3 linked regions of the Schizosaccharomyces pombe genome follow. The main gene of each other region encodes a partner of the protein of the gene in region 3 in a complex. Each region holds a gene or a part of one and is shown on either strand. Other genes may lie near its edges. The genes, in order: snf59, snf5 and snf30.

Region 1 (3,839 bases), on a different chromosome or scaffold from region 3:
ATATAAAGTCATGAAACAGATCTGTTGACACCTCGTAATTTTGTATAATAACTTAACCTTGCTTCTTTCCTTAGATTTCTTGTCCTCATGACTTTAGAATTGTAAAAAGAAGCACCCTGAGCAAGCGTCAAAATATCCTTACCTTGAAATGGTGAGGGTGAATTTTGATTATCCATACTTTTTAGCTCAAGCTTTACAGAGGAAGAACGAGTGCTTCCATTAGCCATGACATCCATATGATAATACTCATCGTCAGCCCAGCTAATGTTTTTTTCAATAAGAGCTTTATGACTCTCTGGATCTATCGTTCCCTTCATCAATATTCTAGCACCGAATGCCAAAAACATTTGTCTAGCTGGAACAATGCTTAGTTGTCGAAATCTAAAATTAGATGCCAACAAACCCATTTCAACCATTTGGTCCCTCTCACTTTGTGTTGTAAGTACTTTTCGTAAAGATGGCGTCTTATGAAACATGAAGTAACTATCCTTAAAGCCGAGTAATCTTGAGCATTCTGTACCAAGCATATACAACACTTTGCCACGTCCTTCTAGGCAAAATGTTTTAGCTCGATATTCAAAACCATCCGCTAGTTTGCCATACGTGTCAATTACTTCACTTATGTATTTATCTTTGTCCTCAATCTTTTCTGTTATGGGGGTTACACTCGTGATTTGAGCAATGTCATCACTAATTTCCTTTTTACTTAATGCTTCATCAACTGGAGGTTCTTTGCATTTTGAAGGTGCGGTATCTTTTAGGCTGTTATTTGGATGAATCAACAAATTACCCTCCTGTTTTACTGCAGAATCAGATTTTGAAAGACTATTTTCTGAAAATTCATCACCCATTTTTTCGGGAATTTTGGAGTAAACAGGTTCTTCATTTTTTGAATCAACATGATGTATCGGTTCCTCCCTGATTGATTTAGTATTATGTTCAGACTCTTCATTTTTTGATTCAGTGTGATACTCAGGTTCATTATGCTCTGAATCAATGCGATGTATAGGTTCTTCAATTTTTGAATTAACGTGCAGCTCAGGTTTTTCAATTTTCGAATCATCACACTGTTTAGGTCCTTCGTTTCTAAAATCACCAGAAGGTTTGGGTTCTTCAATTTTAAAATTTTTCTGATTTTCAGATTCATCCATATTTGAATTATCAAGATTTGTAGATTCTTTATTTGAACTATCATGATGTTTAGGTTCTTCCGACATGTTTAAATCATCAAGATTTGTAGATTCTTTATTTGAATTATCATGATGTTTAGGTTCTTCCAACATATTTGAATCATCAAGATTTGTAGATTCTTTTTTTGAATTATCATGATGTTCAGGTTCTTCCAACATGTTTAAATCATCAAGATTTGTAGATTCTTTATTTGAATTATCATGATATTTAGGTTCTTCCAACATGTTTAAATCATCAAGATTTGTAGATTCTTTATTTGAATTATCATGATGTTCAGGTTCTTCTATATTCACCCTATTCGACTCACCAGATTCTTCTTTATTTAAGTCATCAGAATGTTCAAGTGTGATATCTTCTTCTTCCATAAGAAAAGTTGGTGTCAAACGAAAATGTTACGAATATCAATTCCAAAACCAAGCGTGATTTTATAGACTTGTACCTAATTTCACAGTCTTTTACCTTAACGAGTGTCAATAAATATTTTAAACAATGTGCGGTGGTAGGGTCGCAGCGTGGAACAGGCGTAGCAGAAAAACTGAAATTCGACGTTACTCTACGATTTTAATAAAACCGAAAACCTTTGTTAAAATTTCATAAGCTGAACACTTTTGCAAAATTATTTACTTTTGCTTGGCGTTTCCAAATTCAAATAAACACTCTAAAAGTAATAAGATCAGAAGCTGCTTGCTTCCACACAAAGTAATTTGAAAGGAAGTTATGTATGCCATTTGAACTTTTATCTGCTTTTAATGTAAAGTTCCAATTCAAACAATAGTCTGGTGGGTCATAATTTTAGGTGGGAGTTATAAATTCAGTTGAAATAACATTTAATTGTTTCAACTTTATCATTTATTACTTAAAAAAATAAAATTAGCTAATAAATATTACAAACATATTTATAACTTGTACGTTAGATTAAGTAGTGGACTGGAAACCAAAAAATTAACCTTAAAAGGTATATTTTTTCTTAATCTTTAATGAAATTTAAATAACTGCGTTTTGTTTTAAAGAAAAAACCTTCAAATACTCAGTTTTGTCTGCAATTTTGCTCTATTTACAAATATTACGAGACCCAGTCTGTTCTCGGTGTGTGAAATATGAGAAGTTTTTATCCTGCGTTAAAATAATAACGTGTAGTGTTGTGTTGTGAATGCCGTAAGTGATAGTAGCTTTTCCAGGGTCTAAAACTTTTCTAGTAAAGCAATCTTCAGTGTTCTGAAGATTTACAGGATGAGCACTGTTTCAGGATTGAAGAGGCCTCAAAGCTCCGAGAAGAATCACAGAGATAGAGTATTTGTTCGTGCAACCAGGGGGAAGGTTCAAAAAGTTGTTCGTGAGCAATATTTACGAAATGATATACCCTGTCAAAGTCGGGCTTGCCCTCTTTGCCGTTCTAAACTTCCAAAGGACTCGAGGGGAAATGGTAAGTATTAAAGGAATCCCACATGAGTAATTTGCATTGGTCTGGAATTAGTTGGTATAATTTTCTGTGAAGTTAATTTCTGAGAGCTATTGAAACTAATTCATTTACTATTCAATTTCATTTTTTTTTAATGTGAAGCAAAATTTAATTAACTCTTACGATAGTGTTAGAGCCTATTTTATCAGAGAAGCCCATGTTCTTGGAGAAATTTGGGCATCATTATTTAATCCCTGATTCCAATATATTTTACCATTGTATTGATGCCTTAGAACATCCAAATAATTTTTTCGATGTCATTATTCTGCAAACGGTTTTTTCAGAAATTTCTTCAAAATCTATTCCTCTATACAATAGAATGAAACGCCTTTGCCAAGAGAAAACTAAAAGATTTACCCCTTTTAGTAATGAATTTTTTGTTGATACGTTCGTTGAAAGATTGGATGATGAATCTGCTAATGACCGTAATGATCGTGCAATTCGCAACGCGGCTAGTTGGTTTGCCAGTCATTTGGCCAGCTTAGGTATTAAGATTGTTTTATTAACCGATGATCGCGAAAATGCTCGCTTGGCTGCTGAACAAGGTATTCAAGTCTCTACATTGAAAGACTACGTTCAGTACCTGCCCGACTCTGAAATTTTACTGGATATGGTGTCGGCCATTGCGGACGCCATTGCTTCTAAAGAGCAGGTAGAGTCTGGAACAAAAAACGTATATGAACTACATTGGTCTATGTCTAGGCTGTTAGCTTGTATAAAAAATGGGGAAGTGCATAAAGGACTTATCAATATTAGTACTTATAATTATTTAGAAGGTTCTGTTGTTGTTCCTGGTTACAACAAGCCCGTGCTAGTTTCAGGAAGAGAAAATTTAAATCGTGCTGTGCAAGGTGATATCGTTTGCATTCAAATATTACCTCAAGATCAATGGAAAACGGAAGCTGAAGAGATAGCTGATGATGATGAAGACGTTGTTGTGAGTACTGCAGCAGAACCCGATTCGGCCAGAATAAATGACTTGGAACTGATTACGAAAAGAAATGCTCATCCAACCGCTAAGGTGGTTGGTATTTTAAAAAGGAATTGGCGCCCATACGTTGGCCATGTTGATAATGCTACTATTGCCCAGTCAAAAGGCGGTTCTCAGCAAACAGTTTTGCTAACACCTATGGATAGGCGAGTACCTAAGATTCGATTTCGAACAAGGCAAGCGCCTAGACTTGTAGGT
Region 2 (3,600 bases), 330 kb from region 3:
AAAATATTATAATTTCCAAAAACTGAAATGAAGGCTGTAAAGTAATTTGATTCATCGGTTACCCGTACATACTTTAAATTTAGCCACATGACTGAACATTAAGGATTAATAAGCCTTTGAATAATATACAGTGTATTTCCTCAAATTTAATAAATTAATCGTATTGAGGATAGAGTGCCTCATTTGTAACAGAAGCTATCAACTGAAAGAAACTGGTCCGTCGAGCTATCCATAACGTGAGTCAAATCTTGATTATGGTCTTTGATAAAGATTCTTCCAAAATTGTATTAAGTATTTCTATCCAAAACCGTATTCATTCTCACCTCCTTTTTTTGTTGATGCGAGCTTGACAACAAGTGGATATGGAAATTGCCAAACGTGAATCCTGGGCCGGCTGTAAAATACTCATTAATGCAATCATGACAACATATTCTCACAGTCATCCTTTCAGCAGGATTTAAAGCAGGTTTTACGATAACATTAAATCGATCATTCGGAAATTTTGCAAATGTCTCTATAACACATCGTTTAACCCAGGAAGGGGTAAAATCAGGTAAATTTAACTTTTGCATATGAACCAAAGCGGATTCAGAAGAATTGCTGTTAGTAAGAAACGCGTCAGAAGAAAGGCTAGGAGACGAAAATTGTGGTAATGGCGAAATATTTTGCCCATATGTAGAAGGTGTGTTCCTTTCACTTTCAAATTCGTTTAGTGAGTCAAAACTCATGGAATTGGGCAAGGGAGTGAGTTTCCGTTGTTGGAAGTTATTGAGGGTTAAGGTTTGTGATTGTTCAACGATTATTTTTAGTTTCTGAGAGTCAACTTTTAGACGCACAATTAAATGTTCTCTTTCAGGATTATTAGTATTAATTTCGTTAAGTGTCTCGCCATCAGAATTTGTAGATAAACTTAAAGCATGCATAAAGTCATCATCCGAGGGGACCGATGAACTGGGGAAGAGACTTCGATGTATTTTAGGAATGTCCCGAAGATCTGGTAACATAATCCCGTGTTTTGCCCTTCCTTGTCTACGCCGCATACGACGTGCTTCCCTATCATAACCTCTATCCTGCCGTTCCATTTCAGCATCGTTTAGCTCGTAAATCATTGGGGCAAAGGAGGAGGATTCCATGTCAGAGAACCGTAGTGTGTTTTTAAGAGGAGGTAAAATGTAAGAGCGAACTTCCTCGTCTTCGATTTCACTTCCGTCAAACAAATATCCTATAAGGCTTAAATATTTTATGTACATTTGGCACTGCTCACGAATTGAGTGAGCTACAGCTGTACAAAATTCTCCTGACAATCCTAGATCTAAGCACATCACAGTAGCAAATTCCTCAGCGCTGCTTTCAGGAGCAAACAAATTCCATTCAAATTGGTCAATAAGATTCAGCCGACCAATGGTAATATCAAGCTTGATCAATATCCTCAAATCGTTTTGTACAGTTGGAATTTGTTGCTTGGAAGCTTTAGCCAACGAATCTGACGGTTCGTGCGCATAAACAGTCTCTGAGGTAGACGAACTAACATCTGAAACAAAACTTAAATTAGACTGAGCCTTACGCGGCTCATAGTCATTTATTTGAGCTTGAATACTCTTTGAAATATTTTGAACAATATGTACATTATGCAGTGGAATATCATAATCAATGCAGATCTGTTCAGCAAATTGATCTAATGAAATACACTTGTCGTACAAATTCCACGTAAAGGAGTCTCTTAATTTGTAGCGATCAGCATCTATTTCAAGTCTAATAGGCACCAAATCAACCGGAAGTTTAGATTGGGCTAAATTACTTCTTCGACTGAAAGGGAAAGTAAATCGACCCTTAACCCTTCTTTTTTGCGATGGAAATAGTATTTTGGGTTTCAAAGCGGTCCACCCATTCCCAAATCCAGCATAACCTAGTCCATATCGGGTAATTGCGCTTTCAGGATGTGTTTTCAAAGATGTCTGTAAATTTCTTGCACTTTGGAAGGGTTTTCGAGTATTTTCTTCAATAATACTTCCTTTGTTTTTGTTAGAATTATTTAACAAATAATTTTGATCTGCTAGAAGACAGTGCTGCAAATCTGCATTCATTAGGCTTTGGGGGGAGTGAAAACCGCAGCTAACAATAGTCATAGCGTAGTGAGTGCTACAAACTTGCAACTCGGCTACAGCAGAGCCTATATCCTTATCCATAGATTTAAAAAAAAAGTAAAGATTCGTTTAAGTGCAAATGTTATTAGAAAGAATATCATATATCGGTGTCATTCTTGATCAATATAGCCATTTACAAGCAGCTGATACGTTTTATTAATTGATTCGAAAATACAGTAAATAACCCAAACCACTTTTAAAGTACGGGTGAATAAATGCTAAGCGAATAATGAGATATAGGCCCGACCTATTTATTAAATTTTGGTACTACTGGTTTTGCAGACCTCCAACTAACAGCTTTTGGATTTACTGATTCAACAAGTAGGTTCATAGGACGTGAAGCAGAAAACGAAAGAAAGCCAAAATTGTGAATGACCAGTTCACCACTAGATGTAGGATCGAACACGTTTTCCGATAATTGTGTCGGTTTAATACTTACGGTAAAAGAAGAATGCATCGGCGACGGAGAGTGAGTTACTAAAGGAACATTATCATTTTTCGTAGAATTTTCAAGTGATTGTAATTTTGTTATAGAGGTAATATGAGCGGGAAGTTTTGTAAATAACTTAATCAAAAGAGGTTTCATATTATTGGTATTGCCTTTTGTTTTCTTATTTTTTAAAGTCGAGAACAAAAAGTGTATCGTGGTGCTCGAAGGATCTTCCTTTTTAAACATAATTGGCTTTCCAACTTCATGATTTCCATCTTCATTTATTTCAAAAGGCGTAACACGAACTAGTCCACCTAAAATAATAGACTGACCGAAACGAACACGATACTGAACAGGCTTACTTGTGAGTTGCTTATTTCTAGACCTTGTTTTAGGTACGAGACTTGTCAATAGCTTAGTATCAACCCAGGGTAATAAAGATTTCAAGTTACCACGGTATCCAGGAGTATCAAAAATTAAGCCTTCAGATAATTGCTTAAAACAGGAACCGAAATATTGTGTAGGATACCCTTTTATTGCTTGAGTGGTTCCTGGTAAAAAACTGTCAAGCAAAAGCTCATTAAAAACACCATTTCCCCGTTTAGCCAAAGTTTTTAGCAATGTAGATTTTCCAGAATTTGCTTCGCCTACGACATATACATGACCTCGCGAACATAGCAAGGGATTTATCCTTCCCAAGAGCTTATCAACTAGGTTGAAAGAATGCGATGTGTAAAGCATAGCATACTTTGAAGAAATTCCTAACCCAGGAAACAACCAGTATGGCTTTTTTGGAGGTAATACATCCGCATGCGTAAATAAATGGAAAACTGGGAAATGAGTGTATTGAGTAGCTGAAACAAAATCTTGAAATATAACTTCAGTAACATCTATAACCTGTATTATCAAACAAGTACTTTTATCATTATTCACCGTACTAATGATATCTGGTAGAGTAGTCTGGGGTTCTTGTAACAACTCCTTTGGACGTATGCGAGAATGAAATTTTAAATCATGACATCTTTG
Region 3 (3,839 bases):
CGCAATCATCTGACTCTTCACAGCATCAGCATGACAGTTTCTTGCCTGCTAATTCATCGCCATTAGCGGCCTCGTCTACAAAATCCCTTCCATCGTCAGAACTTCTCGATTCCAGTTCAGACAAGGGACAACAAGTTTTTAAGGGTCAACATGAGGTCGCTGGTACCAATTCTTTTGAAGATCCTAATTCTCATTTCAATGTATCTAATAGTTCTAATCATGAGGAGGCTAGTCCTAAAAAAGAAGTTTTAAAATCTCCTCAATTTCAAAGGCGTTCACTAGACATACTACGGCTTGGTGAACTTTCTTCAGATGATATGATGCTTGATAAAGCTACTATGGATGAATTTTCTTCAAGCCTGGTGATCAAGTCAATTTTTACAGGCCGTTTAACGAGCGTTGTGATGTGCCAAAGTTGTAATGAAATTACTAACACTCCTGAACCTATTCAAGATTTATCCATACCTATTCATTACCCGTCTAGCCGCGTAAGTCGTCGTCATCGATTCCATCGTGCTCTCCGTTCACGATTTAGTCGTTCACCAAAAAAATCGTCTGTAAAGATAGTTGTTGACAATGCTAACGACGACACTGATCAAGCCCCGACTACTAATTCCTCTTCGTTAAATGAAAATTTACTTGGTGGGCATGCTAGTGAAAATGACAAGAGTTTGAAACAGTCTCCATTTCAAAAACTGACTCGAAGATTAAGTGATCTCTCTGTCAATTCTAGCGGGCAAATTTCGAAACAAGATTTTGATAATAGTAATTCAATTTTCTCAGAATCTTCACTATCAAGCCCAATAATAGAGGAGCCTAAGACACTTATTGATTGTCTCAAAAACTTTACTCATGTTGAGGAGTTAAGTGGTGAAAACATGTTTGCCTGCGAGAATTGCTGTAATCAACCTAACGAAGTTGGCTCTCCAGCTAAGGGAGGATTGACGTCGGATAACGATAAATATTCGTTTAATAACAGTGTTTATAGAAATGCTTACAAGCGGATGTTATTAGATGACCCTTTACCTCCTGTTTTTATTATCCATTTGAAGCGTTTTTTCCAGGAGATTTCCCACGATGGTTACGCCAATCCCAAAAAAATTTCCGATTTCATTGAGTTTGAACAAGAATTAGATTTAAACGAGTTCGTTATGCCACACCTACGTGCTTCAAGTAGTTTTAGATATCGACTTTTCGGGGTCATTGTGCACAGTGGCACCCTGAATTATGGTCATTATGTTGCTTACGTATTGTCTCATAAATTCTTAGACCTCAGTGCCCCTTCTACGAATTCTAAGGATTTCCGTTCTGAAGCTGGCATACCCGAGAGACGATGGCTTTACATTAGTGACAATATTGTACGCGAATCATCCTGGGACGAGGTTTCAAAAGTCGAAGCGTATATGCTATTCTATGAACGTGTTTAGACTTCTATTGCTTTAAATCCTCATTTTAGCTTAACAATATTTTTCAATACCCCTGGTTTTTATCTTTAAAATGCAAAGTATTCATTTTGAAATTTACGATTGGCCCAAAATGACTTATTCAACTCAATCTATCTTCACCTTAATCGAATTTCAAAATTACTTTGTCATTTCACCTCATAACTAGATACTGAATTTTGGACGAAACCATAATTATTCAAACACATTCTTTTGATGTACCTCAATTAAAAAAATACCATTTTACTTAATTAAGCAAATGGGATAATTTATTTTACGTTATCAATAGTCTATATAATTGCAAATTTATAGAAAAATCTAAATTTACTTATTTTTTATACGCTAATAGTGTTGTTATTGAATTGTATAAATATTATCTCTGTTAATGAAGCGTGCAAATCAGCTTTAGTCTCTAAATAATTATTATTTATTTATTCTATTGCATATATTTGAAAAGTTATCAACAATCTTATTCAGTCGAATTTGAATGTTCCGTAAAATAAGAAATTTATTTGCCCGAGGTTAGAGGTGCTTAAACTATACACCTGACTTGTCATTATTGGAATATAGTCGCTATTGAATTGTTATAGTGTTGTTACATTCACGTTTATTACCATATAGCATTTAAAGGTTGTTTTATACTTTTTAACGACAGTATTCATCAGAGACTCTAAAATTCGCATTTGTAAAAAAATATATATATATATTACCATTACTCCTAGTTAATGGGTTTTAAACACAAGAAGTTACAACAAATTTTTTAAAAAAACTGGTTATTTAAGTTATATCTCCTTTTTAAGTTAACTACGTTTGTAATAATGAGCTTTGTTTCGAAAAGTCCACCGATAGTAAACTCCGCGAGCCCAACCGGACAGGTTAATCCAATGGAAGTTGAAAAGGCGAACAAATTATTAGAAATTAATCGTTTGATTTTATGGAAATGCTTAGAACTTCAGCATATTAAGACGGCGCAAAATTCGACATTGGAGCAACGGGCTTTATCTACTGAACTTTTCAACAGGTAAGTGATTGAAATGTTTTGCTTACGTGCACACTTAGCTGCGGAAGGATATTCATTGTGTGTATCCATTTTCGGCTCCTCAAATTGCGCTTCGCACTGTCTCTCTTTTATTACATTATATTTTTTTCGTTGTTACTAATTCATTTACTAGTTATATACAACGTCTCAAAGCTAATCTAGCTTTTGTAGTATCAATTGCTTCACCCCGTCAAATGCAAGTTTTAACTCCGCCACTTTCGTGTCCTGAAAGTCTACCTCAACTCGAGCCGTTATACAAAGAACTCCGGCAATATTTTCAAATCGCTCAGACATCTACACTATCGTATCCTCCTTCAAATGGGGATTCGTCTTCGTATGCAAATGGCACAGACTTACATGGAAATACAGGGACTATGCAGCAAGAAGAGAAAGCCAATCCATCATTAACTCGTTCAGATTCTGTTTCCTCGGGCTCTTATATTACAATGCAGGGAGCCAATAGTCTGAAGGCCCAACAAGACTTATTGAACTCGTTTACTGGTGCTCCTTCAAACAATTCTCATAACATACCCGATCCTAATCTATCTCAAACATTTTCAGCAACTTCTATGGGACCTCCCAACAATAACTACTCAAAGTTCCGAACGGATAACTACTTAGCGAGGTCCTCAAATCGCTCGGGAACGCCCAACATTCAAAATGAGCAATCTCGTTTTTTTGATTCACAACAAGCTCAAGTTCAGGCTCGAGCATTGATGCAAAGATATCAACAGGGGATGGAATTTAACAAATAGTGGTGTTTTTGAAGTTTATGATATAGAAAAGCTATGTCCTGTAATTTTATGTTTTAATTGATCATTTATCTAAACGTAAGACTTGCAATGTAGCGGACGCCTTACATGTAATTTTTATGCAACTAGTAAATTTTGACCACTAAGATCTAAATTTGTTTAGGAAATTAGGAATGGGTAGCACAACATTACTAAAATTTCAATTGCGAAAACCAAATCAATAAATTTATCTAAAACGACGATATGTTTACAATTTTACTATAGCACAAGCAAATGAATGCCATACAAAAATTTTTGGCGGAAATTACAACAGATGTGTAAAGCAATTTTAAAGTGGTGTCGCTTAATTACCTTTTGAATCTAAAACGCTATTGAAACTTGAATTTTTTGATGCCATAATTTAACTAAATTGACCAAGTTTAGAGATTAAAAAGCCAATAATGATAACTCTGAAAGTTTCCAGTATAATATAAAACAAAAATGGATAACGAGAACCTAAATAATCTTTGAACTTGAGTCGTTATCCTCTAAACAAGCTCAACCTTTTTTAAAAAAAGAAAGCATTATTGTATAACAATAAGTGAATTGATAATTCCTTTTTAAAAC

The links.
Region 1: snf30 (region 3) and snf59 share a complex: the UniProt entries of both Schizosaccharomyces pombe proteins name them as parts of the SWI/SNF global transcription activator complex.
Region 2: snf30 (region 3) and snf5 share a complex: the UniProt entries of both Schizosaccharomyces pombe proteins name them as parts of the SWI/SNF global transcription activator complex.

The regions. Positions count from the first base shown.
Region 1 is NC_003423.3:3,968,548-3,972,386, forward strand, and holds the start of snf59 (SWI/SNF complex subunit Snf59), read right to left. Parts: upstream 2,198-3,839; 5' UTR 1,557-2,197; coding exon 9-1,556; 3' UTR 1-8. Other genes in the region: 3'-5' exoribonuclease subunit Dis3, read left to right, coding at 2,422-2,614, 2,779-3,839. UniProt on the Schizosaccharomyces pombe protein: Component of the SWI/SNF complex, an ATP-dependent chromatin remodeling complex, which is required for the positive and negative regulation of gene expression of a large number of genes.
Region 2 is NC_003424.3:546,377-549,976, forward strand, and holds snf5 (SWI/SNF complex subunit Snf5), read right to left. Parts: upstream 2,094-3,600; 5' UTR 2,085-2,093; coding exon 288-2,084; downstream 1-287. Other genes in the region: gep3 (GTPase-like protein), read right to left, coding at 2,392-3,600. UniProt on the Schizosaccharomyces pombe protein: Component of the SWI/SNF complex, an ATP-dependent chromatin remodeling complex, required for the positive and negative regulation of gene expression of a large number of genes.
Region 3 is NC_003424.3:878,611-882,449, reverse strand, and holds snf30 (SWI/SNF complex subunit Snf30), read left to right. Parts: upstream 1-1,981; 5' UTR 1,982-2,260; coding exon 2,261-2,463; exon of another isoform or gene 2,464-2,614; coding exon 2,615-3,236; 3' UTR 3,237-3,303; downstream 3,304-3,839. Other genes in the region: ubiquitin hydrolase Ubp7, read left to right, coding at 1-1,427. UniProt on the Schizosaccharomyces pombe protein: Component of the SWI/SNF complex, an ATP-dependent chromatin remodeling complex, required for the positive and negative regulation of gene expression of a large number of genes.